Pelodiscus sinensis: one gene and its partners. The protein of the gene in region 1 purifies or fractionates together with the protein of each later gene. This does not show direct contact. Links are inferred from orthologs where the notes say so. Each region holds a gene or a part of one and is shown in the gene's direction. Other genes may lie near its edges.

What was found.
Region 2: the proteins of CDK19 (region 1) and MED21 purify together in Homo sapiens (affinity purification with mass spectrometry; 6 studies listed by BioGRID and IntAct, counting the BioPlex papers as one, with this or other methods). This does not show direct contact. The link is inferred for Pelodiscus sinensis from reciprocal best matches to the Homo sapiens genes CDK19 and MED21.
Region 3: the proteins of CDK19 (region 1) and MED4 purify together in Homo sapiens (affinity purification with mass spectrometry; 7 studies listed by BioGRID and IntAct, counting the BioPlex papers as one, with this or other methods). This does not show direct contact. The link is inferred for Pelodiscus sinensis from reciprocal best matches to the Homo sapiens genes CDK19 and MED4.
Region 4: the proteins of CDK19 (region 1) and MED31 purify together in Homo sapiens (affinity purification with mass spectrometry; 6 studies listed by BioGRID and IntAct, counting the BioPlex papers as one, with this or other methods). This does not show direct contact. The link is inferred for Pelodiscus sinensis from reciprocal best matches to the Homo sapiens genes CDK19 and MED31.

The regions. Positions count from the first base shown.
Region 1 is NC_134713.1:79,074,445-79,081,886, reverse strand, and holds the start of CDK19 (cyclin-dependent kinase 19), read left to right. Parts: upstream 1-4,431; 5' UTR 4,432-4,593; coding exon 4,594-4,734; intron 4,735-7,442.
Region 2 is NC_134711.1:119,852,156-119,859,558, forward strand, and holds the start of MED21 (mediator of RNA polymerase II transcription subunit 21), read left to right. Parts: upstream 1-4,395; 5' UTR 4,396-4,580; coding exon 4,581-4,622; intron 4,623-4,767; exon of another isoform or gene 4,768-5,160; coding exon of another isoform or gene 5,161-5,190; intron 5,191-7,403. UniProt on the Homo sapiens protein: Component of the Mediator complex, a coactivator involved in the regulated transcription of nearly all RNA polymerase II-dependent genes.
Region 3 is NC_134711.1:288,753,941-288,760,944, reverse strand, and holds the start of MED4 (mediator of RNA polymerase II transcription subunit 4), read left to right. Parts: upstream 1-3,997; 5' UTR 3,998-4,148; coding exon 4,149-4,480; intron 4,481-7,004. UniProt on the Homo sapiens protein: Component of the Mediator complex, a coactivator involved in the regulated transcription of nearly all RNA polymerase II-dependent genes.
Region 4 is NC_134731.1:14,453,451-14,461,201, reverse strand, and holds the start of MED31 (mediator of RNA polymerase II transcription subunit 31), read left to right. Parts: upstream 1-4,731; 5' UTR 4,732-4,926; coding exon 4,927-4,936; intron 4,937-7,751. UniProt on the Homo sapiens protein: Component of the Mediator complex, a coactivator involved in the regulated transcription of nearly all RNA polymerase II-dependent genes.

The DNA.
Region 1 (7,442 bases):
ACTAGTCAATAGATTTTCCATCCACTTGTCAAATAGTTGATAAGCAGGGGAACTGCAGCGGGACCTGAGAGCTAACCCTGCTGCAGCTCTGCCTTTTAAATGTATTAATAGCTTGTTGGCTCTTAATATATTTAAAAGGCTAAAGCGCAGCAGGAGGGACTCAGCATGAGCCAGGACAACTAACAAGCTCTTAAAACATTTAAAAAGCAGAGGTGTAGTATCTGGGACTGGATGCAAGCTGGGAATAAGCTGATTTCCAGCTTGCGCCCAGTCCCCACTACCTCCCTGCGGAGACGGAGCTGGGGGAACTGGCTTTTAAGCCGGCTCCTTCGAACACTGGCTCTTGTCCCCTCCCCCCTTGCGGACTCTGATAGAGGCAGCAAGGGGAGGAGGGTAAGCGACTAGTTGAGGAATTAGTTGACTATCCTATAAGCTTTTGCTTATTGCAGAGGTGGAGAACCTTTTTTGGGTTGGGGGCTGTTGACTCACAGAAAAATCAGTCGGGGGCTGCACACAAATTAGGAGCAAAATAAAAAAACAAAAAAACACCCCAAGAATAAACTCCCACTGACATTGAGGAGATAAAGCTTCAGAGGTTAGTCTGTAACAGGAAAAACTTAAAAAATAACAATTAGTCTAGTAGCATCTCAAAGACTAAATAGTTACAAGAGGCTGATAAGAACCATTAGTTAGTACTTGGAAAGGAAGATGACCAACACCAGATTCTACACAGACATCAAGAACCATTAGCACCTTCATTGGTCGGTTGGTTGATAATGTGTGAACCATGATTCACACATTATCATAAGAAATAAACTTGTGAATGAAGTTAAGCTCCAATCCTTCTCTGTGTATTTGGCTTGTGGAATTGGTCTGAAACAAAACAGCGACTTGGAGATCCATTAATGAGTGTCCAGGAAGATTAAAGTGTTCTCCAACAGGTTTTTGTGTGTTGCCTTTTCGGATATCTGATTTGTGTCCATTAATTCTTTCCCATAGAGCAGTGGTCTCCAACCTTTTTACACCCAAGATCACTTTTCAAATGACAGAACAAGCCAAGAGCTACCGCCCCGCTCCTTCCTCGAAGCCCTGCCCCTTCCTCTCTATTCTCTCCATCACTTGCTATCCCCAACCCTTATACTGCTGCTTTTCCCCCAATCCTTCTGTAGGAAGAGGTTTCCCCAACATTTGGCCTGTCAAGACTGGACCAAATGTCAGTAAAACCCCTTCTTTTGGAAGCCCTCTTATTCCTCGTGGAAAGAGGAATATAGGGGTTACTGAAAGAGCATGTTTGCTCTTCCACTAAAAAAAGCGGAAGAACAAATGCATCCCTGGACGCAGAAGAGTTTTTCTGGGATATCTTCAGAATCCTGAAAAACTCCTGCAGTCTAGCCTTACCCTCACTGGGTTGAGGCAGGATGTATAGGCTCTGGGGTGGGAATGAGGGATTTGGATGTGGGAAGGGGTGAGAAGTGCAAGCTCTGAAAGGAAATCTGGATATAGGAGGAGGTGGAGAAGGGGACGCTGGGTTGGGGAGGGGGCTTCAGGCCGGGCAATGTTGGGGTCAGATGTAGAGTTAGGGTACTAAGCAAGCCACAAGCTTGTGGATATAAAGGTGCAGGAATTTGGGTTAGGGTATGTGAGGGGCTCAGGGCAGGGATTTCCAGTGTATGATAGGTTCAGATCAAAGGTCTGGGGGAAAGGGGTATGCAGGAGTGTCATGATGTTGTGGGCAGATGGGGGCTTGGCCCCAACTGTGGGTTTGTTGGCCAGGCTTCATTTTTAAATAAAATACTATGGCAAACAAAAAGTTTCTGCATTCTCTTTATTTATGAGAAGGGCAGGGAACCTGTTTTGAGTCAGGGGTCACTGACCCACAGAAAAGTCAGTAGGGTCCACACAAGTGGGATGCAAAATAAAAACTCCTCCAAAACTCCCACAAGCCTCACTAATGTGGCCCCAACTGTGCTGGTGGGAGCAGGGGGACATGGTATTGGGGAAGGGTGCAAGGGGGTATCGGGACAGGGTGCTGGCTAGGGTGCCAATGGGTGCTGGGGCAAGGGCCAGTGGGTTCTGGGGCAAGGGCCTGGGGCAGAGGACAGGGTGTCAGTGGAGGCAAGGGACAGGGTGCTGGGGTGGGGACAGGATGCCAGTGGGAGCAGGGTGTTGGCTGGGGCAGGGATTCCCCCCCCCCCAAGAGGAGAGAAGCTCCGGCAAGAGCCTCTTCCTGGGACGACTCCTCTGCAAAGGAGGAAAGCCCTAGCGCATTTCCCCCAGGGACTTCTCCCCCCTCCCTGGCGCGTGCTTCTCCCCGGGACTCCTACCTCCTCCCCCGCAGAGGAGAGGAGCCCCAGTGTGCACTGCCCCTCGGACTCCTCCCCTCTCCCTTACAGAGGAGGGGAGCCCCAGCACATGCTTCCCCCTGGGACTCCTACCTTTTCCCCGGCGTGCGCTTCCCCCTGGGACTCCTCCCCCATCCCCGGTGCAAGCTTGCCCTCAGGACTCCTACCTCCTCCCGGGCAGAGGGGAGCCCCGGTGCGCGCCTCCCCTCTCTTCTCTTCCCCCCCCCCCCGGAAGCCCCAGCGCGCATCTTCCTCTGGGACTCCTACTTCCTCCCGGTGCGCCACAGACCTGGAGGAGAGGAGTAGGCAGTGTACTTCCGGAAACCCCGGAAGTGGCACGCAGTTGCTGGACTTCCCTCCACCCCACAGGAAGTTGGCACTACCTCCGTTTTCGGAGGTAGGTAGTGGGGCTTCTTGGGGGCGAGGAGAATTGGAGGGGCCCCGAACGCCTCGCAATCACTGGTCGAGCCCTTCCGATCAACCCGTTGATTGTGATCGATGGGTTGGTGACCATGGCTGTACAGACTGTCCAGTCTGTCCGATAGATATTGCAGTGGGGGCATTGCTGGCATTTGACGGCATAAATCACATTAGGGGATGTGCAGTTAAATGAGTCTCTGGTTTGGTGGCTGATATGGATACTCCCCAAATTCTCCTCAAACAGCAGAGTCCCCCCCACGGGGTTCACCACCCCTAGCTCATCAGACAGTTGACTAGTAGCTTACATCCCTAATGAGGCTATATACCACTAATCTTATGAGAACAGCTTGAGGCACGATGGTAGCAAATATCAATTTCAAAACAGAAATGGGAATTGAAGGTATGTTTACCTGATGGAGCCTTTATTGATATAGAGCACAACCCTGTAGTGTAGTATAGCTACAGCCTATAGCAACAGATTTGTTGTAGTAACACAACCTCCCTGAATGACTCTGGCTATTTCCCTAGACACCACTTCTGTCAACCTAGAGTTGGAGCCTACACTGTTTTTTTTTAGCATAGCTATGTCTTTCTGGAGTGTAGTTTTTTCTCACCCCTAACTGGCATAGCTACTTCAAGGCAATTTAAGTACACACTAAGCCTAGGACAGAAGTGTGTGAGTGGCCCTTTTCATGATAGTCATGCTTAAGTCCCATGACTGGCTGTTTTCTCTTGCAGTGGAATAGCCTCCTGGCAATGTTGTCATGGCGATGATGACTCAGGAATGAGCAGGGTTAGTGCCTGGCCGTCCGGCATTGCTCTGTGCAAGCAGTTCTGGGCCAGCCTTTGATTGTGCATCACCCCGAAGGCAGGGATGTGCGCTAGCGCGGTGCCTCGCAGGGCTCAGCGGGCACCTCCGATCTTTCGCCCTGGCGCTGGTAGGGAAGGAAGCCGAAGCGCCAGCCCCTTGGGCCGCACCGGGGCGCGCAGGCGGGGCCGCTGCCTCCTCCTCTGACCCCTCGGGGACAGCAGGTGGGGCCCCGCCCCGGTTCCACTTGTAGGAGGGTGTCGCCGCCGCCAGGCCACGCCAGCCCGCGGGGCCCTATTGCATCTGCTGGAAACTGGGCGGCAGCATCTAACCCGCTCCGCGCTGCCCCGGCCACTCCGATCAGAGACGGCTCCGCCCCAAAAGCGCGTGCCAGGGCGGCTGATTGACGAGCACGGCAGCCACTCACGCCTAAGCCCGTAGCCCAACGACTAAATGCGCGAGATGAGCCGTAACCAATCGGGATCGCCAAAGAGGGGGGAAGGGCGGGGCCACGCTTGAGTGGCAGCTCACAACGTAAACAAGTACCAGCGCCACAATCCTTCCCCTCCCCCTAGCTGAAGGGCTGAGGCTCAGGTACTGAGCACGGTCTCGCTGCGAACCAACCTCCCTCCCCCGTGTGGTTGCGCCTCCCACCTCAGTCGGGCAAAGTGAAGAGTCAGCAACTTCCCAGCGTCCGCTGAAGCGCTTAGCCGCTCAAGGGAGCGCAGGCGCAGGCAGGGAGTGGGTATTGCGGTGCATGCTGGGAAATGTAGTTCTCCCGCCGCTGCCTGCCTATGGAGCCTTTGGATCCGCGGCGCCCGCTGCACTATCAGTCCCAGAATGCCCCGCGCCACGGTGCAAGCCGCTCCAGTTGAAGCGGGTGGCGGCGGAGCGGACCAAAAAAAAAAAAAAAACCCCACAACAAAATCCAAGAAAACAGCCCCCCCAGCCCCACTCGCGGCAATGGTGCAGGGAGGGGGCTCCCGGCGCCGGGGGCGCTGATCCCGCCGCGCCCCCTCCCCCATGGGTGAGCGACATGGACTACGAGTTCAAATCCAAGCTGGCGGCCGAGCGCGAGCGGGTGGAGGATCTGTTCGAGTACGAGGGCTGCAAAGTGGGGAGAGGCACCTACGGGCACGTCTACAAAGCGCGGCGCAAGGACGGGTAAGAGGGGGCGGCGCTGGCACGGGGCGGGGGCTCCTGGCTTGGTCCCCCCCCCCCCCCCGCCCCTGAGTGTCCCTCCGCCCTCCTGGGGCCGCGGCGCCGGGACTCCCTGCAGGCGTCCCCAGTTCAGCGACGCTGATGCCGCAAGCTCCTGGGCACCCTCTCGACCCCGCAGCTGCGGGAGGGTGCGGTGACTGGGGGGGACTAGTTGTCTGTGGCCCCTGGAGACGGCAGTGACAGTGGGGCTGGGCGGTGCTAGCTGCCGCGCCCCCTGCCAGTGGGAATGCCTAGAAATCCCCACACTGGGAAGGGGAGCGGAGGGGACGGGGTGGAGCGGGACTTGGTGGTGGGGGTAGGGGAGCTGGCGGTGGTGTGTGTCCGTCCGTTCCGCCCCCCCCCCGGGAGGGAGAGAGCCAGAGCATGAAGGTGGCAGCGAGAAATGAGAGGGGCCACCCTGAGGTGAAGGTGGGAGGGTAGCAGGGAGACTGGGGCGAGCCCTGGTGCTGTGTGTGTATGTAGGGGGAGCAGTAGGAAAGAGGTGGGAAAAAGCCTGGAGGTTGGGGTAGGGACTTGAGGATGGACTGTGGTAGCCTTGGTGGTAAAGAGTCTGTGCATCCCTCAGTGTCCCTTTCTCCCAGTCCCTGCAAAAGATGGGCTATAACAATTTTTCTTCTCCATGACTTTCCATCCGTTGACTTACTGTTTCACTTGAAGCCAGGAGGGATGGAGCAACAAAGGAAGAAAAAGGCAAAGAAACTAACTTTTGGAAAAAGTTTTTTGTAAACATTATTGTACTAAGGTAGAAAATCCAGCTTTCAAAAACAAAAAGATAACTGGATAAGAGGAAGTGGTGATGCAGGTGCAGCTCCACTGACTGGTGCATCCAGGCTTAATATAGATCATACATTTACTGAATAAGCACCTATGTTCAGGGCTCCCAACAGGCCCTGAGTGTTTTCGCAAAAAACAAACAAAAAACAAATCTAACCAACAACTTAGTTCTATACAGATATGCACACACAAATAAAGAGTATTTTTGGTATATTGCTGCTAGCCTAGTGTGTTCTGTGTGGGCTGAGTGAAGCTTTTAAGTGATGCTTCAAATATCGTAGCTTCATTTAAATTAATGTTTGTATCCCCAACCCCAGAAATGTTAATCCTGTGAAATTTGTTAGCTGGTCAGTGATGTGGTGGTGCTTAGTGTTCCTTATGAATTTTGCGATACACTTTATAGCCTAATTAAGTAGAAACTGAATAAGGTGGTGCTAAAAAGTCCTTGTTGTCCTAGTGAGGTTAATTCAGTATACCTACTAAATGTCTGGTTTTTAAGTGTGAGCATTGTTTGCTACTTATGAAGCACTGGCATCTCCAGAGTGAATCAAAATTATTTTTAAAATCCAAAAGAGTGGCCTGCTGTGTCTGTTTGTACTTTTCTAGTCTACGCCATGTAGAACTTTTCTGTAGCTTTTAATGAGTCTGGTAGTTGTTCGATGTGTATGACTCCATACAAGTAGCTAGTTAGGCCCAGAATGAGATGTACTGCTCTTCTCTCTGTGATGCTGGAAAGGTGGGATGGTAGTTCCCTGGCTAGTTATTACTATTCCTTGCTTGTCTCATTTAATTGTATGGCAATTCTGTAAGGAAAACACCTGATTTATCTCAGGTGTTGGTCTGCATGTATGCTGGCCATATTTATGCACACTACAATTACAGCGGTGAAACTTACGTCACTTGGGTTGGGTTTTTTAAATACCTTGGAACAGAGTGACATAAACTTTGCTGCCACAAGTAGTAGTGTAGACATGATCTAAGTTAGTAGGGTATAATACTGAGGCTAAGCAAGGGACAGGCAAAATATGGCCCGTGGGCCAGATCTGGCCTGCCAAACATTTGGATCCAGCTTGTTGTAGCCCAGTGGGACTTTCAGGTAGGCTCCTTGGATGCTGCAGCCCATACGCTGCTCACAGTGGCCAGCATGTGTGTGTCTGTGCAGTGTGCCCCTTGGAGGGGATGTTGATCTCTGTACTCTGCCCCCTGCACCATCTTTGCAGCTGGAAACTGGCCAATGGGAGCTGAAAGGGCAGTGCTTGCAGGTGCATACACCACATAGAGGCCCAATGATTCCCAAGGGGCATGCTGTGCAGAGATGCACATTAAGGCTGCAGCAGCCAGGGAGCTAGCCCAAGCGTCCTTCCGGGCCACTGGCCAGGGGCTGCCTATGGTAAATTCTCCTGGCCAGAGCTGGCTTAAAAGCTGGTTTCCCCCAGCATCAGCTCTGCAGTGCCACCTACCCCTCAGAGGCAGCAGTGCAGAGGTGGGGCAGGGAAGGCTGCTGCAAAGGAGGCCTCTGTCCATGGTGGCCCAGGCTCATTGTGGACAAAGGTTGCTCTATGCGAGGTGGACCAGCCTTTGTCCATGAGGAGCTCGGACCCTTCCCCCCCCCCGCAGACAGGGGCTGCACCAGTCTCTATCTGTGGCCAGCCAGAGCCACCACAGACACAGGCTGTTCCATGGTAGCCTCCCTTCTCCCCCCTCGCTCCTGCTGCAGCAGCCTCTGTATCAGAGGTAGCAGTGCAGGGCAATAGGCAGCCAGTCTGTGCGGGGAGTTAGTTTTTGTACAGGCTCCCCTTGCGAACTGGCTCCCAACTGCCTCAGCCCACGCTGCTGCCCCTGGTGACTAACAAATAGTCTTGTAACCAATAAGATTT
Region 2 (7,403 bases), on another chromosome or scaffold:
TTCAAGCCAGGGAGTGCAGCAGAACTCCTAGTTCCAGCACCTCTGAGTGGGTGTACTATTATAACAAAACCAGTACAAATACCTGGGGAGATAGTTTTGTTTTAGCTTAAGAGTGTCTTGCTTTGGCTTAATGTAAACTGGTTCCCAATCAACCCAAGCTAACCGAAACCAAAAAACCACTCAAACTGAAATCACACAGAGGTTTGCACTGTAACAGTTTAAATTCACACCTTAGGCATGCAACTTTCTTGTACAGACAGGTCCTACATAAGTGTTTGGGAGATTGAAATCTTTGTCAGGAGGGATGGCGGTTTATTGTGATTTGTCTCTGCTCATGAGATTGTTAGCCAAATTCTACGTGCTAGGGCAACAAAATGATAAATCAAATTCGATACTGATTAATGCAAAGTAATTCACACTGGAAATCATAATCCCAATTATACATATAAAATGACAGGGTCTAAATTAGCTGTTACCACTTAAGAGTGAAATTTTGAGTCATTGTGAGTGGTTCTCTGAAAACATCCACTCAATGTGCAGCAGCAGTCAAAAAAATGAATAGAATATTGGGAAACATTAAGAAAGGGATAGATAATCGGCCAAAAATTCTTATTGCCTCTATATAAATACATATTGAATATTGCATGCAGATGTGGTTGTCCCATCTCAGAAAAGATATATTAGAATTGGAAAATGTTCAGAAAAAGGCAACAAAAATTATTAGAGGTATGGAACAGTTTCTGTATGAGAAGAGATTAATAAGACTGGAACTTTTCAGCTGGGAAAAGAGACCACTAAAGGGTTATACTATCATGAATGGTGTGGAGAAAGTATATAATGAAGTGTTATTTACTCCTTCTCATAACACAAGAATGATGAGTCACTAAATGAAATTAATAGCCAGTAGGTTTAAAATAAACAAAAGGGAGCATTTCTTCACACAACACACAATCAGCTTGTGGAATTCTTTACCAGAATTGTTGTGAAGGCTATAACTATGAAAGGGTTACAAAAGAACTAGATACAGTAATTATTTGCTTAACACGTGCCCGCTTAACACGTTTTCGCAATAGCACGATTTTTTTTAGGGAACATTTTTTGAATAATATGACCGTCCCCGAAATAACACGAAAATAATCAAGTGGGGACTACTTCGCGCGGTGGTATAAGTTGGTGAAAACAGTGATAATACACGAGCGGATGAATACACGTGGTCACAGTGCTCCTCCACTCACTCACATGTTTATCTTTATGTTTTAACAAACCACAGTGACTTGTGTTGCTAGATATCTAATGTTGACGTTGATGACTGAGCACCAACAAAAAATTGACTTTGCCACCACCACCTGAAATGCAACCCCCACCTTTTCCATCATTTTTAATGGGAAAATTGACCCCGCATAGCATGTTTTCGCTTAGCACAAACATTTTCAGAAACACATCTGTAGTGCTAAATGAGAAATTATGGTACAGTACATTCATGGAGGATACCTCCATCTATGGCTATTAGCCAGGTGTCCCTAGCCTCTGTTGTCAGAAGCTGCGCATGGATGACAGGGAATAGATTACTTGATTGCCTGTTCTGTTTATTGTCTCTAGCGTATCTAACATTGGCCATTCTTGGATGACAGCATACTGTGCTACATTAATTTTTGGTCATATCCAATATGATTATTCTATAGATTTGCATAACATCTTTTATATGTTAACTGACGTAAAATAAGAATCTCATCAGCATAGGCTTGCTTTTCCTAGAGTATCTTTTCTCAGAACTGATAGAATCATAGTCCAGTCCCCTTAAGTGAGGCAGGATTAAGTCTACCGACAGTACACTATTCTTGAGAAATGCTTTCTATGTATGCCATAAACAGAATGGCAGTTTGGATACTCTGGGCTGAAACTTACCATGCAAGATCTTAATGTTTCTGGTTGGTTCAAAATTTCTGATATTTATCTGTTCTCAGAATTGCAGAAGTTGATTTTAATCTCGTTTTACTCACAACTGATAAACAGTGTGGCTTGTGTTTTAGTTTTAACTTGACATTTCTCTTGCAAAAGAATTAAGTCATGCAAAAAAAGTGTTAAGTAACATACCTGGAATTTTAATAATACACATATATGTAGGGTCTTCAGTATTACTTTTAGACATAACATTTCTCCTTAGTCTCGGTTAGAAATGATAACTTTGCTTTTAAGGTACAGCACTTTTTTCTGCTACATGTTTTTGCATATAATCATCAGTGAGGACAGACTGTAAATTAAACAAGTTAGACAAGGTAACATGGAAGCAAACAAGGAGAGCCCTGCATGAATACAAAATTTGTATCTGCACTTGTATCCACAAAAATAAGTTGCAGATATCTGCATTGACATCTGTGTATGTGAAAACTCACAGTTAAAAAGTGGATAGCCACAGATTTGCAGAGTTCTAGACACAATTTTTTTATCCACATCCATATCTACACAAATGAGCTGTGAATATCTACAGATTTTCAGGGCTCTACAAACAAGGTCACTAGTTCTGGGCTGTACATCAAAACTCTCTAAGGATCTGATGTGACTCTAGAATCTTTCTGTGCAGTTGTGCATCACATTACTAGAAAGATATTGATAGTTTGAAGGGAGTTTAGAGAAGAAAATGATTGGAGAGCTGTTAGGATTGATTTATGAAGAAAAATATTGAAGCAATATTGCTTGAATTAAAGAGGATTTGTGACAGCAGTCTACAAATATTTGTAAATTCAAGGCTGGTAAAGAATTGTTTATAATAGTGCCAGGGAGTAAAAGTGGGAGTACTGAGAAGAAATTAAGATAGCTAAAATGTAAACTCAGTGTTGGAAACAGTTTCTTATTTAGTAAAATGTATAGGCCGTGGAATCATCTCCAAAGGAAAGAGGTGGAAACCACAGTACATGAGACCTCTGAAACTAAATATAAAAGTAATTATATAGTAGGAGACAATCTTTTGGGCCCTAATATGTCTCTTCCATCCCCAACTTTTAAGGGCTTGGGTAGACTTAAAATGCAACAGTTGTGTCACTGTAGACACTACCCACACCAATGGGGATTCTCCTATGGACAAAAGCAATCTACCTTCCAAACAAGCAGTACTAGTTTGATGAAAAAATGCTTTGGTAGTCCTAGCTGTGGCTACAGAGGGACTTTAAATGCCCTAATTATGTTGCTCAAGGGTGTGGATTTTTCACTACCCTAACCCATATGGATAAACCACCTTAACTTTCTAGTGTTGACTAGCTCTAAGATTCCATGCCTACATGCACAACTATGCTTTCAACAACATACTCAAGCAGCTTTGCCAATCCCAACAGCAAAAAATTGAGAGATTGCCTTTAAAATTGTGAGATTATTTTAACAATAATGAATGATTAGTGCTTTTTATTTGCCTTGTGCTTTCTTAGTAATTAGGGTACCACATGGGCACAGGCAACTTGTGGTAGCACCCATGAGGTGAAAATGTGATTGCTAAATGGAGTGCTCCCTCATGCCCTCTTCTTCTTCCTCTGACTGCCTTTCCCTGCACCCTCTCCCCTCACAGGCACAACTCACTTATTCCATGGGCATGTTTTTCAGTTTTTTTCTGGAAGTATGGAGAGTAGAAAAAAGAGCTGAGATTCTAGTATAGTCATTCTGCTTCCATCCTAGCTCAGGGCTGTTGCTTAAGCGGGGTGGGCCAAATGGTGTATCACAAAACATTACATTTGTCACTGAGAGGCTTAGGACCTGAGAATCTTGCTTGTGTCACACTCCTTGGCTGCGTCTAGACTGGCATGATTTTGCGGAAATACTTTTAACGGAAAAGTTTTTCCGTTAAAAGTATTTCTGCAAAAGCGCGTCTAGATTGCCACGGATGCTTTTGTGCAGAAAGTGCTTTTGCGCAAAAGCATCCGTGGTCAGTCTAGATGTTATTTTGCGCAAGAAAGCCCCAATCGCCATTTTCGCCATCGGGGCTTTTTTCCGCAAAACAGTTCTTTCCTGTCTACACTGGCCCTCTTGCACAAGTATTCTTGCGCAAAAGGGCTTTTTCCTGAGCGGGAGCGGGAAAGTATTTGTGCAAGAAGCACTAATTTTGTACATTACAAAGTCAGTGCTCTTGCGCAAATTCAAGTGGCCAGTGTAGACAGCTGGCAAGTTTTTGCCAGTCTAGACCCACCCACCTGCAAAAACATCTGGCAAGAAAAAGGTTTAATAATAAAGTGGGAGGAGGGGAGTGGATTTAAAACAATCCTGGGCCCCCCTTGTTTCTGTCCCTGTTTGTCCCAGGACGCTGGCCATTGCCCTGTACACTCAGCCCCCGCCCCCACCTAGCACTCACTGACAGCAATTACAACAATTTTTTGCATTGCCCAGTGGACGCCACCTTTGGCCTTTCCCTCCGCAGGGCGTCCCGTCAGCTGCCGCGGCTCCTCCCAGTCGGCAGGGGGCGAGCGACGATCGAGGCGTCCCCTGGGCCCGAGCCGCCCTTCGGACCCGAAAGAGAACCACGCACACACCGCGCTCGGGCTCTGTCCCATGGGCAGGCGGCGCTGGGAGCCGGGCGGCGGGGAGCGCAGGGGAGCATCATGGCGGATCGGCTCACGCAGCTTCAGGACGCGGTGAACTCGGTGAGGCGGGAGCTGGTGCGGGCCTGGGCGTCGCTCCCCGCATCTCCTCGGGCCGCTTCGCGAGCCTCTCCCCGCGGCTTGGAGGCGGGGGCGGGGTCACAAACCTGGGACTCGGGGGGGGGGGAGAGGACAATGGCGCCGATTTACAGTTAGGGAGGCCGTTGGGCTTTGAAGCGTTCTCGGCTGTTCTCGCGCCCCGCCCCCCGAAGCTCCGGAGGGGGAGGGGGCGGGCTGGCTTGTGTCTCGCGCCTCGCGCCTAGCTCTGTCCCTCAGCTGGGATCCGCTCCCCGCTTTAGAAGCGCCCCGCGCTGAGCTCGCGCCGCCCGGGAACTGACCTGTCCCAGCCCGCGCGCCAACGCTGAGCGCGCGCCGTCCACAGCGGGGGAGCTGGGCGCTGTTGCTGGCTGTGCCTGTGGCGAGGCCGCTTGTTGAGGGAGACGCTCCCAGAGGCCCTTTGCCTCGGTGCGCTCTTCAAGTCGGTCTCTCGGCTCACTCTTGGAATGGCTGGTATGGGGCTAAAAGGAGGCCGCCGTGGGGAATGCATCTATGTATCTACTCTGCCTCGGTGGTAGGTGCTGGTGAGAGGACACTGCTCCCCCCACCGCCATCACTGATTACAATAATTTCCCCACTTAATTTCACCAGTAAAAGGCTGGGCAGCGTCTGCCCATGTGGCTGAGGAAAAGGGCGAAAACATTTTATCTCTGCAGCAGCCGACAGAGATTATGATTTAGGAACCAAATGTATGTCCTGGACTTGAGTGTACTGATGTTAGCATCTTAGTTAGTCACTGATCCTGCCAGTTGATCTATGAAGTAGGGATGTCATCATGTAGACCACTCCACAATTAACCACTGAACCTATGCTTATCGTTTAAATCTTGTTGATTACACGCATCCTCCCCCTTGCTGCCTCTGTGTCAGAGACAGCAAGGTGGGGACGAAGCTGGTGCCCATGTCCATGATGAGCTCACTTACCTGAACAAAAATAGGTAATCATCAAGTGAGCCCTCTCCTGTCATCCATTTCCAGACTTTGACAACCAGAGGTTAGGAATACCATTGTTATCCATTTTGGCTAATAAGTATTGATGGACCTAATCTCCATAAATTTATCTAGTTCTTTTTTGAGCTCTGTTAAAGTCTTGGTCTTCACAACATCTTCCTGCAAGGAGTTCCACAGGTTGACTGCTGCATGAAGAAAATCTTCCTTTTGTTTGTTTTAAATCTGCTACCTATTAACTTCATTTGGTGACCCTAGTTCTTATGTTATAGTCAGAAGTAAATAACTTATTCACTTTCTTCATACCTCTTGTGATTTTATAGACCTCTATCATAGTCTCCCTTATTCTCCTATTTTATAAATTGATAAATCACAGTCTTTTTAATCTCTTTTCATATGGCACCCATTCCAACCCCCACCCCCGGTAATCATTTTTGGTGACCCTTTGTGACCCTTTTCCAATGCCAATATACCTTTTGAAGCTCTTCACGGTCTGCATTGTTCTTAACTATCTTGAAAAATTTCAGTATCCTCTGCAAATTTTGCCATCTCACTATTTACCCCTTTTTCCAGATCATTTATAAGTAGGTTAAATAGGATTGGTCCCAGGACAGACCCTTGGTGAACACCACTAGTTGCCTCTCTCCAGTCTAAAAACTGACCATTTCTTCCTACTCTTTGTTTCCTGTTTTTTAACCAGTTACCACTCCACGAGAGGACCTTCCTTCTTTTCCCAAGACAACTAACTCTTAACCCATGGCAAAGAACTCTAGTAGATCAGTAAGGTATTATTTCCCTTTACCAAAACCATGTTGACCTTTTCCCAACAAGTTATATTCATTTGTGTGTCTGACAAGTCTATTCTTTACTATAGTTTCAACTAATTTGCCTGGTACTGACATCAGACTTCTCGGTCTGCAATTGCCAGGATTACCTCTACAGCCTTTTTTAAATATTGGTGTCACATTAGCTATCTTCCAGTCATTGGGTACAGAAGCTGATTTAAAGAATAGGTTACAAACCACAGTTAATATTTCTGCAGTTTCACATTTGACTTCTTACAGAGCTCTTGGGTGAATGTCATCTGGTCCCCTTGACTTGTTACTGATACATTTATCAGTTTGTTCCAAAACCTCCTCTAATGACACCTCAATCTGGAACAGTTCTTGAGATTTGCCACCTAAAAAGAATCACTCAGGTTTGGGACTCTCTCTATCATCCTCAGCCATGAAGACCAAAGCAAAGAATTAATTTAGTTTCTCCGCAATGACCTTATCATCTTTGAGTGCTCCTTTAGCATCTTGATCGTCCAGTGGCCACACTGGTTGTTTAGCAAACTTCCTGCTTCTGATGTGCTTAAACATTTTTTGATATTGCTCTTTGAGTTTTTGGCTAGCTGTTTGTTCTTCAAACTCCTTTTTGGCTTTCTTCTTATATTTTTACATTTGATTTGACAGAGTTCATGCGCCTTTCTGTTTTCTTAACTAGGATTTAACTTCCACTTTTAAAAGGATGCCTTTTTATCTCTCACTGCTTCTTTTACTTGGTTGTTAAGCCATGGTGTCCCTTTTTTGGTTCTCTTACGATGTTTTTTTTAATTTGGGGGATACATTTAAGTTGGTCAGCAGTACGGAATGTCAGGGGACTCCCTGGGAGTGGGGCAGGGAGCACACTGGCTGCTGGCCCTGCCCCAGGGACTATCAAATAGTCATGTACCCACTAAGATTTCATGTGGTTGTACCACTATTCAGTTAGGCTACGTCTATACTGGCGGCTTCTT
Region 3 (7,004 bases), on another chromosome or scaffold:
AGAGAGGGGCTGCCTGCCTGTTTTATTGCCTGTGAACTTATCACCCCATAGGTTGGTTTTTGCTGCAGTGGGTGGAGTAGCAGGCCTGAGCACCAGTCAGCCCATTGGCTGATCTTTTACTGCAATGGGTGGAGCGAGCAGGGGAAGATTATTAATTTACATGCCCTTATTTGGAAAACACTCCACCTCACAGACAGAGCCCCCTATACCAGCTTCAGAGGTATTACAGGCTATGGCTCCCTGTGACGGGCAGCCATTTCTGATGTTCCGTCTTGGACAAGGAGCAGCATAGTATTTCCGCAAGAAGCACTGATTTCTTACATGAGATCGTCAGTGTTCTTGCGGAAATTCAAGCAGCCAGTGTAGACAGCTGGCAAGTTATTCCGCAAAAGCAACTGCTTTTGCGGAAAAACTTGCCAGTCTAGACACAGCCATGTTGCTAGTGAGTTTCATATTTGCTGACAGCAGAGCAATGGACAGACTGAGGACTTCTGGTTTTAATTCCATGTGCTGTAAAGAATAATATTCTAGTACCCAGAGACCTTCTTCCCTAGCATCTCTGTTTCTCTCTACTTCACACCCACCCTGTGGCTTCTGTCTCCAGGTCTGTTTGCAATAATTGTTCTAGGTACATAGTAACCATATTAACTTAAGGGGGGCTTCATACAGGCCCCAGAAATCTGTCTGCATGATATGCAGCATCACGGTCATCTACTGTAATTTAATACTTTTAAAGTTATCAAAATGTGGTTTGATTGTCCTCAGGATTAGAACCATGTTCTGTATCTAATTACTCTGCAATCTGATCTAAATGGTCAGACCTCTGCACTTGTGGAGAATCCCATTGATTTGCCCAGGGTTTTGCGCAGGAGTAAGGTGCATGATGGAGTCCATAACTGTATATCCATTTTCAGTTGTTCAAACCATCAACTTGAAAGCTAGTCAAATTTAAAACATTAAGGTAAAAGTAATTCTAAGTGCTGCCCCTACTCTTCCTGACAGTTTCTGTGGTTTTACACCGCATCCTCAATATTGCCAACCCTAAGTGTTCAAAAATCATGAGTCAGGCATCAAACAGCCAGACGACGGGCTTAAAAATGATGAGATTGTTAAAATATTGTGGATTCTTTTCCTTTGATTTCTTGTTTTTGAGGTCATATCTACATTACAAACTTTGGCTGACCCAAGTTCCATTGGCATACAACTGACAAAGTTTGTATATCCTTTGTGCTGGTGTGTACTTGATTGCTTGTGTCAAATGCTGCATGTATTCACCTGGAGTGCTTGTGCTGACACAAAGTTCAGTGGCACAATGGGTAAGGTCATGGACATCTTGCGGTGTGTCATGGACATCTGTCTGGCACGATGTCTTGTGTTGAAATGTTTGCAATGCGCTGTAGAATAGAAACAACTCACCCACGGACCTCTGGGAGCTAGAGGTCATATTCCCAGCGCATAACTTTCTCCATCCTATAATGCCATCCATATTCCATGATTTTCACCTTTTTTTTTTAAACCCACAAATCCATGTGACACTTTTTTGGTATCTACCATTTTTGACAGAACATGGAACCTACACTCTTTTTATGCACATTACAAATATATGATGCACTATTTTCTTGGATTTGCAGACCTGCAGAAAGTATAATATATATAATTTCTTTGAGGACAGTTTGCCAAACAGTGGTTTTCAGTCAGGGGTACATATACCCCGGAGATACATCGACACAAAGGTATTTGCCTTTGACAATAGGTTACATAAAAAGCACTAGCAAAGTCAGTACAAATTAAAATGTCATACAGACAAAACGAGAAAGTCAGCAATTTTTCAGTAACAGTGTGCTATGACACTTACATTTTTATATCTGATTTTGTAAGCAAGCAATTTTTAAGTGAGGGGGCACACAAGACAAAATCAGACTCTTGAAAGAGGTATGGTAGTCTGGAAAGGTTGAGAACCAATGTGCTAAGAAACAGTGGGAAAACAACTTTAGATTGATGCTGAGGTTCATAGAGTAGCTGCAAATGTCAGAGCACCACTTCTAAGCCCAAGAAATGAGCAATGACTTTAAGGATCACATTGTAACCAGTGGCTGCAGGACATTTAGGCTACGTCTACATTGGCCCCTTTTCCGAAAGGGGCATGCTAATTTTACAGGTCGTAATAGGGAAATCCGCGGGGGATTTAAATATCCGCCGCGGCATTTAAATAAAAATGTCCGCCGCTTTTTTCCGGCTTTTAGAAAAGCCGGAAAAGAGCGTCTACACTGGCCCCGATCCTCCGGAAAAAAGCCCTTTTCTGGAGGATCTCTTATTCCTACTTTGAAGTAGGAATAAGAGATCCTCCGGAAAAGGGCTTTTTTCCGGAGGATCGGGGCCAGTGTAGACGCTCTTTTCCGGCTTTTCTAAAAGCCGGAAAAAAGCGGCGGACATTTTTATTTAAATGCCGCGGCGGATATTTAAATCCCCCGCGGATTTCCCTATTACGACCTGTAAAATTAGCATGCCCCTTTCGGAAAAGGGGCCAATGTAGACGTAGCCTTAGAGTGCATCTACACAGCACCCTGAACTCGAAATAAGATATGCAATTTGCGCTATGAAAATTGTGTACCTTATTTTGAAATTTGGCATGTCTACACAGTGCCAAATTTCGAAATAACATGCTATTTTGAAACATCCATGCAATGAGGGTTACAGGGATGTTGGAATAGCGTGTTCATTTTTTTCAAATAATAGGCACATTTAAAAGACACGGGTTAGCTATTTTGGGATCCTGGAGGTCTACACGTATCTTTAAGAACAAAGGTCCATCTAGCCCAGTATCCTATCTTCTGACAGTGGCCAGTGTCACATTCCCCAGAGGGAATGAACAGAACAGATAATTATCAAGTGATCCAACTGAACAGCTGTTTCACATGTTCAAGCTCTGGGAGGAAGTGGGAGAAGTGGTGATGGAGCACAAATCAGAAGATTTGTGGCATTCCAAAAGTATTGTGAGGGCGGGGAAGGAGAAAGAAATGTGGGGCTCCAATGCCCCCAGTGCACAAGAAGCACTTGTGTGGAGAGGGGCAAACATGGGTTGTGTTGGGGAAATCTCGCTCCCCTGGGGTACAGAGTCCGCAGAAGGGTCGAGGCTGGAGGTCAAAACAGTGAGGCAGGAGAGAAATCTTGAAGGAAAACTTTATTATGCATGCATGCAGGCTGACAGCTACCGGAGTGAGAGTAGCAGCAGCCCTGAGAGTTTCAGGGATCCTTTATACAGTATGTTCAGACAGTTTAGTTGTTGATTATTTCCTTTAACATATCAAAGTCTCAGCAGAAGTACTCTGTTCTCACCAGAAGTGCTAGAAGTAAGTTTTACAGTACAAAAGCATATGATAACCTGAGTGAGGAGCTACAAGGCAAACTGTGACAAAGATAAGAGTTTACATGACAAATTGTGACAGACTAGGAGTCTTCATGAAGTTGAGATAGGAGGCATTGTAAGGGTCTTGATTAAAGTTAAGATGATTTCTCTCTGTTACAGGGAGAGAGGCCTGGAAAACTTTTAACCCTTACAGCAGTTTTCTTTTAGAGACTTTTGATTTCCTGCACAATCCCTCCTTAGACACAGTTGGAGTTATTTGATTTTTCTCCCACAGTTGCATAGGCCAGAAGTGTAACCCCAGTGGGCCAAATGTGGCCTGTGGGCTGCAGGTTGCCCACCACTGAGATAGGCAGATGGTGGCTTTGATCTCTGTGTCTCCTGTGCAGTGGAATTTAAAGTTGTGATCAGAGTGGACACTATTGCAGGGAGAGGGTGGGACATAGTGGACTAGCTTCTGGATGACTGTTAGGTTGACAGAGTCTCGCTACTCCTGCTGTAGCAGCCTCAATAGGTTAACCCTGGTTCTAGGTGTTACTACACTGTCATAATGGGGCACTTACACAGGTGTGAGCACAGACAGGGGCATGCCCAGGGGCATGCAAGGCAGCTAACTCTGTGGCACAGCCCAGGCCTGGCACAAGCCTCCACTGTCCGCCAAGCCTTGGTGTCCCGCTGTTCTGTGCAACCGCCAGGGCTGGAAAGGCACTTTTTGAACAGGTGGACACAGAGCCTTGCCTGGCAGGTGCTGGGCCCTGCGCACTGGGAGGCCGACCCCAAACCAATGGTCCCTCAGCAGGAATTTGCTTCTCTCTCTGGGCCTGCTGAGACAGCTGCAAAGCGGGGCCCGCGCCTCAGGCGGAGTCTGTGGAGCTCCTGCTGCCGCCCAGGCCGGCTCTGCTGTCTCCGGCCCCAGGCGCGGGCACAGGCTCCGCAGGGGGCTGCGCTTCAGACCTCCGCCGCCGGATGCCGCTGTCGCCGGCCCTTGGCGTTGCGTCCGCGGGCCGCTGCAGGGGCGGGCTGCTGCTCGGGCGCGGCGATGGCGGCGGGCGGGGAGCGGAGCAGCACGCGGGACAGGCTGCTGGCGGCGCTGGAGGATCTGGAGCTGCTGGCCAGGTAGCCGCGCGCCCCCGGCCGGGCTCGGCTCGGCCTCACTCGCGCCGCCGCGGCCGGGACCCGGCGGTTCCTGTCTAGCGAGGCAGCGCCGAGAGGCCCCTGGCCAGGTGGGACCCCGCCGGGGCGGGGCGAGGTGCCCTAGGGATGGGGGCTCAGCCCCGAGAACGGGGGCCCGGCCGCTAGCGGTCCGATTCGGGAAGCCGGAGAAAGGGTGCGAGTAACTTACCGAAATCCCTTTCCCTGCCGGGCATGGCCTTGCCGTGAGCGCTGCTTTAACTCCTCCCTGTGTGGAAACTGACATGCACCGTTCTCTGTCGGCTTGCAATCAGGTCGGCTCAGAACTGTCCCTGGACGTCCGAGAAACCAACCTCAAAAGCATTACTCGGGGGGTGGGCGGGATTTGTAATAAAGGCGCTGTTTTTTAGTCTAGTGGCTAGTAAAGTAGGTAACTTAAAATGAACCATTGAAACGTCGGTTGCATATATTACTATAGACATCTAAGACGTCTATTTGATCTACAGCACTTACCTACAAAACTCCCGTCAACTAAGGAAGTGGGCTGTGCCCAGGAAAGCTCATGATACCATCTACATGTTTTGTTAGTCTATAAAGTGCTACCAGACCATTTGTTGTTTTTTAAGTTTAGCACTTACAGTGTAAGTAAACAACAGGCAGGGATAGGACAAGCATTTTTAAAAATCTTGTCTATTTTATTGATCCTTGCCAAAATACTGATAAGTGTTCAAAATACAACTGTGCCTTGTTCTGTATTGCCTTTCTGTGGCCTATTAGTTGGAGGTAGTGTGCACATTAATTGGTCTATATAGAGACCCAGCAAGTGCACACTAAAGGGTCCCCTAGAGTACATAATGAAATACATTTTGAAACTGATCCTCAGTAACCCTTTCCTCCATTTAATCACCCACATATGCTTGGCATTCTTTATTTCACTTCTATCCACATGCCACAGAAATTTCCCCACATTAATTATTCAGTGAAAGTTACTGTGCTGATATCCAAGGTGCAACTGGTGTCCTTTGGCATAGTCTTTTTCCTTCCAGAGAAGCAGGGGCTCTCTATAGATTACCTTTTCAAGTTAAGTTGATAAACGAATGTATTTTCCTATTTATATGGAATACTTTTTGTATTTATCTCAATTTCTGGGGCTATGGCTGGGAAAATGCACTGATCAGTTTCACTTTGGTTTTAGTCAGTTTCTTTTCAGACTGCCATGTTTTGGAATGCAAGTGTTACAGGGAATGTTCTATAAAACCAAGCTTTCCATTTTTTATTTAATCAATATTTTATTTTGGCCTCAGGTTGCTTGCTTTTATAAAACCTAAATCCGGGGCAAAATTTGACTTGAGATAATTGTTTTAAAATAACTTGGCAAACACCTCGGCCGTGTCTAGACTGGCAAGTTTTTCCGCAAAATCATCTGCTTTTGCGGAAAAACTTGCCAGCTGTCTACACTGGCCGCTTGAATTTCCGCAAAAGCACTGACGATCTCATGTAAGATTGTCAGTGCTTTTGCAGAAATACTATGCTGCTCCTGTTCGGGCAAAAGTCTTTTTCCGAAAAACTTTTGCGCAAAAGAGCCAGTGTAGACAGCAGAGATTTTTTTGCGGAAAAGCACGTCTAGATTGGCCATGGACGCTTTTCTGCAAAAAGTGCTTTTGCAGAAAAGCGGCCTGCCAATCTAGACGTGCTTTTCCAAAAATGCTTTTAACGGAAAACGTTTCCGTTAAAAGCATTTCCGGAAAATCATGCCAGTGTAGACGTAGCCCTCAAGTCAAAGGTACTTTCTGTTATTAAGACTAGAAATGATAGAGTTGAATCAATTAGCTGATACAGCAGGGCAGCAAAACCTCTGCCCCAGCAGCCAGGCAGGCAAGAGCTACCCACTCCGCTCCTGGGGAGGTTTTGATGCAGGCTCTGTAGTATAAAGCTAAGCTTTATATTGCAGGGCCTGCAGCATATTTAACTAACTGTGTCACTGCTAAGATTTTTAGCGGATACACAGTTACTGTTCTACACAATTTTTAACATCCCTTATTAAGACAGAACTTGTTCACTTTCTGCCTAAATTTATTTAAAGTCACGTGGTCTGGATTCTGTCATCTGTGGGGGCATATACTAGTATCCATGTGAAACCCATGCTGTCAGTATCACAATTTATGGAAATAAGGGTCTGCCAACATGGAACAGATTTTAGGATCAGAGCCTTTATGTTATACAGAAATTGACAGGCTGCTTAATTTTAACTGTTGCCTATTACGCTTTATTAAATAATTATACTAAAAGTCTAAAAATTGTTCCTACCAAGATCAGGTAATAATTAGGTTCTATAAAGATAGTTCTAAAATGTAAAGAGCAATTCACATTCTTTAAAAAAAAAATCTAAATCCAATTTAATTTATTTTAAAAAATACTATCCAAATTATGTTTCAACTTTATCACTGGAGCACAGTGATTCTTGAAAACAATACAAAGACAAAAATTGGATCTATTCAGATTCTATCTG
Region 4 (7,751 bases), on another chromosome or scaffold:
GACTGAGCATGCTGCCAGTACCCCATTCCTTTTTCCTGTACCATGATATGCTTTTGCTGGGCATTGGTGCATCTCAGACACTAGATTCTGGTTGGGAGACCAGACTGGAAAATCAAGGTGTTACAAAAAGTGATGTTAATGATTCACCAGTGCTAGAAGCACTAATGTAGGGTTAGATAGCACAGTTGCAAACACCTCTTCACCCTGGCTACAGCACCACTTATACTAAGTAGGGAGCAGCAGCCATACTAGACAGGCAGAGTGAAAAGTCATAGTGTTGGTGTCCAGCCAGTGAATAAATGGGTTTCAGTGTAAGTAACTGGTGCTCAGATTCTACCAGAAACATTATAACAAGGGTCTCAAACTCAATTTATCTGAGGACCAGTGCCAGGCCTCAGATCTTTCTAATGGGCTAGTGGGCACCCCTCCTTGGGAAGGGCTTTGGGTGGGGTGAGTATCTCTGCTGCCCCCCCCCCCCCCGGTTGATTTAAAACCCATCATGGGCCCCTGCCAATACCACCCAAAGGGCTGCGGGGTTAGGGTGGGGCTTCCTGCTGTTATCTCTATGCCACTACCAGCACCTTCCTATGGCCTGGGGGAGGTGTGTGCAGAGTCATCCTGTCCATAGTTGTAAACTGTGAAACTATTAAATCATCTTGTGAAAGTGACTAGCTATCCATGATGCCAACTCTCCTGATTTGATCACAAGCCTCCTGATAATTTGTGGGCTTTTTTTTCTGGAAAGCCCCAGCCATGTTATTAGAATTAAGTCAGATGTGGGAACCTGATGCTACCTGATGCTTCATACCTTGCTAACAATTGTGATAGCCTTGTCTTCTGAGCCCAGATTTTAAGGTCCTCCTTCACTATAACAATGCCTGGTAATAAATAATGGGATGGGAACTTCTTTTGGTTTATTTTCTTGAAGAATCCTATGTGTGAACCTGTGGCTTTCAATTTTCCTGCAGAATCAATTCCTCGGTTGGCATATATCAGCATAGTGCCTCTGACTTCAACAGGACTACCTCAATTTACAGCAGCTGAAGCTCCAGTCTTATGAGTTAGCTTGATTATAACTTTCTTTATATTTAATTTGTCACAGTTATGCATACATCAAAATCAGGTCAAGAAAGAATGGTAGAAGGCATGGTAGTTGGCATAGAGACTGAACCCAGCATGCTTTGGGATCCTTGGATACCCAATGCTTTAAAGGAGCAAAGTGTTATTAGTGTCCTATTGCACCTAGCTTTATAAGGCCTTACCTATGCAACGCGGAGAAGATGTGAAGTGAATGGAGACGAGAGGTCTGACATGAGATCATAAGTAAAGAAAACAAAATCTACCTGGATATCCAGATCACAAAAAATATTTCTTGAACATGGAAAAATGTTATCCGTTTAAATTGGGTAGTCAGGAGACCAAGACTAATTTTAATTACAAAGTACTTTCTTAATTCATAGGTAATAAATTACTTACAAGAATGATTAATTCTTCTGGCTTCTCTTCCATCCAGTAATGCAATGTCCCTGTGGTAACTGATTCCACATTTGGAAATGTCTTCTGTACCCACTTTATGGCTAAAATCATCATTTCTTTGCAGTCACTTACATTGCCAATCTCCTGCAGAAATTGTGCTGCCATTATCTTTGACGTTATAAAGAACTGTGAAGAATGTGCTCTAAAACTTTCCTACTTGCTTATCTAGGGAGCAGGTCACATGGCCAGCATTCATTTGGGAATATTGACAAAATTTTAACCCTTATAGTCAATCACATTAGTGTCAAAAACAAACAAACAAAAAGATTTCTTATGGAGCAAACTTCAAAAATTTAGATGTAAAAATTCTCATTTGTCCTTATAATTGAGCTCTGCAAAGCAAATGTTTTGCAAGAAGCAAAAGCTTTTTTTGCAATCATCTGAAAAAGAGTGCAAGTAAAGACCATTGATTGCAAAGGGAGGTTACTGATATAAAAGTGAACTTTGATTCCAGAGTTTATGCTTCAGCTTTAGCAGCCAATGCAAACTTTAAAATTATAAAAAAAAACAACAAATAGTCTGGTAGCACTTTACAGACTAACAAAACATGTAGATGGTATCATGAGCTTTCGTGGCCATGAAAGCTCATGATACCATCTACATGTTTTGTTAGTCTGTAAAGTGCTACCAGACTATTTATTTGTTTTTTAAGTTTTTCCTGTTACAGACTAACTTGGCTACCCCTCTGAAGCTTTTAAAATTATAGGCAGCTATGAGTGAGCAAGAGATATGAGACTAGATACAAAAAAGTAGGAACCATTTCAGAGCAGTTTTTATGTATTTACTTTTATGTATAAAGCTGCATTTAGTATTAAAATACATGATTAATGCTTCACCTTAACCAGTATGGTGGGCTGTGGACCCAGTTCTGTACCCTGCTGCTGATTTCATTGGGAGAATATGAAGACTTTTATCTCCACATTTTGGGTTTCCACCTCTGTTGTTTTGTCTGCATCATCATGGTCTACCTTTATTTTCTGTGTTTCTGAAGGGAAACCATTTTCCCTTGTGAGTGCTGTAATTGTGTCTAATAGTGATAGAAATGTAGGCGTGTTAGTCTGGTGTAGCTGAAACAAAATACAGGACTATGTAGCACTTTAAAGACTAACAAGATGGTTTATTAGATGATGAGCTTTCGTGGGCCAGACCCACTTCCTCAGATCAAATAGTGGAAGAAAATAGTCACAACCATATATACAAAGGATACAATTTAAAAAAAAAGAACACATATAAAAAGGACAAATCAAATTTCAGAACAGTAGGGGGATGGGGGGGAAGGTAAATGTCTGTGAGCTAATGGTATTAGAGGTGATAATTAGGGAAGCTATCTTTGTAATGGGTAAGATAACTGGGGTCCTTGTTGAGACCCATGCGTAGAGTGTTGAATTTTAGCATGAATGACAGTTCAGAGGATTCCCTTTCAAATGCAGATTTAAAAGGCTTCTGAAGCAGGATGCAGCATGTCTTAGCTCTACCTCCTACATGGAGACACACAGCTCAGTGCACTAGCCTGCCTGCAGATGCTGCCCTCTCTGCAGCTCCCAATGGCTTTGATTCCCGGCCAATAGGAGCTGCAGAGCTACTGCTTGGTCCAGGGGCAGTATTAAGAGCTCCATGGCTGTTATACTGCCTCTGCTTCTGGGAGCCGAGCACAGCAACAGCACATGGAATGGGAGAAGTCCCCAACCCCGCTCTCCATCTGGGCTGGAGTAAAAGGTCTGATGGCTAGGACACTGCCCATGGGGCGTAGTTTGCCCATCCCTTGGATGTAACTTATGACTTGCCAAAGCATCTGGGGCATTCCTGTGGACAGTGAACTCTACATCTTTTCCATGCTCGTGTGCTGTGAAACTTGTATTTGGAACATATGAAATACAAGCCACAAAGCAAGAGGAATATAAAGGGCAACTGCATCATTTCCTTTTTCTCTTCACTCCTGGTTATCTCTGGAGTGACTTTTTTAAAAGCTGAATCTCTGAAAAAAGAATTAATGTGCCATCCAAGCTGTGGATGTGCTCCAAAGGGCCTTTCAAGCCCCAAACTCTCCTGCTTTGACCCTGATGTATGGACTTTGAAGTCTTTGCATGAATGTTGCTGCTCCATCATTTAATACTCTTCTTGTTCTTTCTTTTTTCTTTATATAAACTTTTAGCTTTAGACACTACAGGATTGGCTGGCAGCATGGTATTTTAGGTATTTCAGACCCAACCAAATATTGACCAGACAATGTGGCTGGCCCTTTTGGGTTCAGATGTATATTTTGTATAGAGAGCAGAGTTATTTAAAAAACTTCTCACTGTACTCGACCTAAATGCTGATTGGGAGACAAAGAACGGGAATGCATGAAATGGGGCAATGTGATTTCTTTTTTGGCTTCTTGATAACCAGTCTGGGGAATCAGAAGCACAGCTGGTGACTGGTTGGGAAGTTTTCAGTGTTACTTATCAATCATGGGAGAATTTTCTCTGCCTTTTGCAGCTTGCCCTAGCTTTTTTTCAGCAAGGGTTACCTCAGGCACACTAGGTTACAATAATTAGAGAAGAAAAAATTGTTAGGGGCGTCTGATCTCATTGCGTTGCTTATTTTGGCTTTAGCCCAGCTGTGTAGACGGGCCCATTATCAGGAAGTGTATCAGAAGCTATCCTTCGTAGGCCAGATCTACACTAGACCTGAAAGGTCGGGTTACGGTACCCAACTCCATTTCTGTGAACTATGTAGCTGGTGTGAACATGCCGTAAGCCGAGCTTGGCGACATCTTCCTAGAGTGAGGCCGATGGGAGCATACGCTCCTGTTAGCTTCCCTTACTTCCCGCGAATCAAGGAGTAGGCACTCAATTTAGCAGGTCTTAAATAGACCAGCTCAGTTGAAGGCTGGAAGACTGATCTCCAGCACTGGCAAGGGAAGAGGTGGCCTTGATTTTGTCTCCTCTCTTTCCGTTATTTCCTTACACACCGCACTGAACAATTCCCCTTTGGTGCTGTCAGCTCCCATCTAGTCCTGGTCGCCCTGTGGTCCCTGTCCAGCTACTCCCAACACTTGCTGCACAGTGACGTCACAGGGAGTCCCTGGTGACGTCACACACGAGGCCGCATGCCTCGGGTGTGATGTGGTAAGCAGTACCGCTCCTCCCTCTGGTGTGACGTCACCCACTTGCGCACGGTAAGGGCAGGTCCTGGCAGCAAGGGACACACAAGGCGGGGCGAGCAGGTCACGGCCCCGCCCCCACCACCAGCTCTGGAGGGCGCGCCCTCTTCGTTACCCTAGTAACCGTCTCCACGCGCCGCCTGGCTTCCCAGAATGCACCAGGGCGGCTTTCCGCGAGGCTTCCGGCCGGCAGGGGGCAGTGCCGCCGCCATCTTGTGCTCGGCGCGCGAGTGGAGCCGCCAGCCATGGAAACAGGTGAGCGCCCAGAGCGGCTCCCTCCCTACTCAGGGGATTCTCCCTCCGCGCAGGGCTCCGGCTGGCCGCCTTGGGAAGGGCTCGGAGCGCGGCCCGGGGGGGGGGGGGGGTGAACGGAGCGGGCGCCGCTTCACCCCAGGCCTTGTCCCCACTTCTGCCCTCCCGAAGGCGCCGAGTCTCCCCCGCCCCTGGCTCCTTAGGGGGGCAGGGCCTGCGTTGTAACCCCCCCCGCACCGGCTCCGCCGCGTGGCCCCCGGTGTGTCGAAGGCTGCTGCCTGGAAGCAATGCGCTTCCTGTTGGCGCGATCGTGAGGAAACGGTCCCGCGAGCAGCGCAGGGGCCTCGGTTCCCTGGCGAGGGCTGCGTGTCGGGTGTTTCATCTCCGACTCAAGCCTCCCCCCGGGTTCAGTTCGCTGGGCTCGTCTAGGGCTCCGCGTCTCTGACACTGGACTAGCGCGGCCGAGCGGGGAAGGCGCTTGACTGCAGCCCGGGGGTCGGGAGGTGCTGCTTGGAAGGCCACCTCCAGTTCCCCAAGCTGCAAACTGGCGCTCGGATCCATTGGGTCGGGGCAGTCGGAGAGAGTTGGACGCCAAGCGGGTAGCCCCGCAGGTTGACAGGGCTCTACTTATATGGGTGGTCGCCAACCTTTTTAAAAGATCACCACAAGATCACTTTTTTCAATTTAAGTGAATTGTAAGCTCTACCTCAAACCCATATACCCGTGCCCTGCTTCCTTCATGCCCCCTCGGAGGCCCTGCCCATGCTCCACCCTTTCTTCGAGGCCTCGCCCTACTCACTTCATCTCCCTTCCTCCCCCATCCTCACTCCCTTTCACCAGACTGGGTTAAGGGCTTGGGCTGCAGGCTCTAGTGTTGGGCCAAGGGATTTGGCATGTGGGAGGGTATCCAGGCTTAGCCCAGGGTGGGGGTTTGGGGTTCAGGAGGGGTTTCAGGGTGCAAGTTCTGGGAAGGAGTTTGGGTACAGGGGGACTCTCTTCTGGTGTAGGAGGAGGCTCAGGGCTGGGACAAGGGTTCAGCAGGCTCTGGCTGAGCACCGTTTAACTGAGACAGCTTCTGGGTGATGGAGCCCAGGAGTTAAGGCAGGCTTACTTCTGCCCTGGCCCTGTACTACTTCTGAAAGCAGTCGGCATGTCCAGCAATGGCTCCATGGTGCCATGTGCTGCCCCTCATCTACAAGCACTGAGCCTACAGCTTCTACTGGCCACAGTTCCCTCTTATCGATCAATAGGACATGCAGGACAGGTCCGCAGGCAAGGACAGCATGTGGAGACCTCCCTGCTCTTCCTGTCTCAGGGGCTGCAGGGACATACCAGCCACTTCCAGGAGCAGCAATTATCACAGGGATAAAAACTCCAGCCACAGTAGGTTAGGCATTTTAGAACTCAATACTGAAAGAATTAAATTAAGCGTAAAAAATGAAAGTTATGAAATGGACAGACCAGTCAAAAACCAAAATTAACACAGTTTGCAAGCAGTAGAACAGTGGTCACCAACCAGTAGATCAGGATCTACCGTTAGAGAGCAAAGGTTCCAAGATCTCTCTCCCACACCCTGCACAGCAAGCAGGAGGCTTCCAGGGGGGCAGCTCTAAAGGAGAGGACAGGAGCAGCGTGACAGTGGGTGGAGGGGCAATTGAAGTGCCAGCACTTGATAGCTTCCTGGCCAAACCATTAAGGATCACCTGTCAGAGGCTCCAAGATCTATTGATGGATCCTGATCTACTGGTTGGTGCCACTGACTTATGTGGACTACATCACTTGCATGCATACTGTTGGGTATGAAACTGATCAATGTGCATTAACCACCCTCTCAGCACCATGAGCTATTGGCTCTGGAGAGCTTTGACTCTATTTTACCCTAATTCCCCATTTTACAGGCTAGCCAGTCATCACTCAGAATCATCAAAAAGCTGATACAGGATAGGGAAATTAAAAATTGTTTATTTGTGTAAATGTGTAACTGCTGAAAATTTTAGTAGTTGCATGTTTACATGCAGGGAGGCAGGCAGGAGGGTGGCGCTCATGGGGACCTGGCTTAAAAGAGAGGCTGCAGAGTGAGGAGGCAGGTGGCTCTGCAGTAGCTAGTGCTTGTTGGGGAGTAGGCTTTTAAGCCAGCTACCTCCCCCGCACCCCCCCGAGCACTGGCTCCCACCTGTCCCCCCACACTGCTGCCTCTATGACAGGACAGGCAGTTCTGCAGGAGCTGGTATGCACAGGAAACTGGCTTGAAAGTCAGCTTCCTGCATCTACCAGCTCCCATCTACCTCCCCACATCCCCTTGCTGCTGCTTCTCTTATTGGTTAATTGTGTACACGGATACATGCTAACATCCCTAATGTGAGATAGATAGTAAAAAAAAAATTATAGTTACATAACTAATGAGTCAGCATGTCTATAAATTAGGGATGTTAAAATTAGATTAATCAACTAATCAAATAGCCAATAGAATTTCCATCGACTATTTGATAAGGGCACTTCTGCTTTGAAATGTAGCAAGAGCCTGCCTTGCTGTTGCTACATTTCAAAGGCAGAAGTGCCACACAAGAGCTCTTGTACATTTCAAAGACAAACACTGCATGGAGCCCGCTGGCCCCATCGCGGGGATTCCCAGGGCAAGTGGGGAGCCCCCCCACTGCCTCCAGACTCCATGTGGTGCTTTTGCTTTCAAATGTACCAGAGCCCCAGTGGGGACTCTTTGTACATTTCAAAGGAGGAACTCTGCAGCTGTTCCCCTGGCCCCTCCCACGGAGCCTCAATCTCTCTCTCCCCCTCCCCCCTTACTTCCTCTTTCTGATGG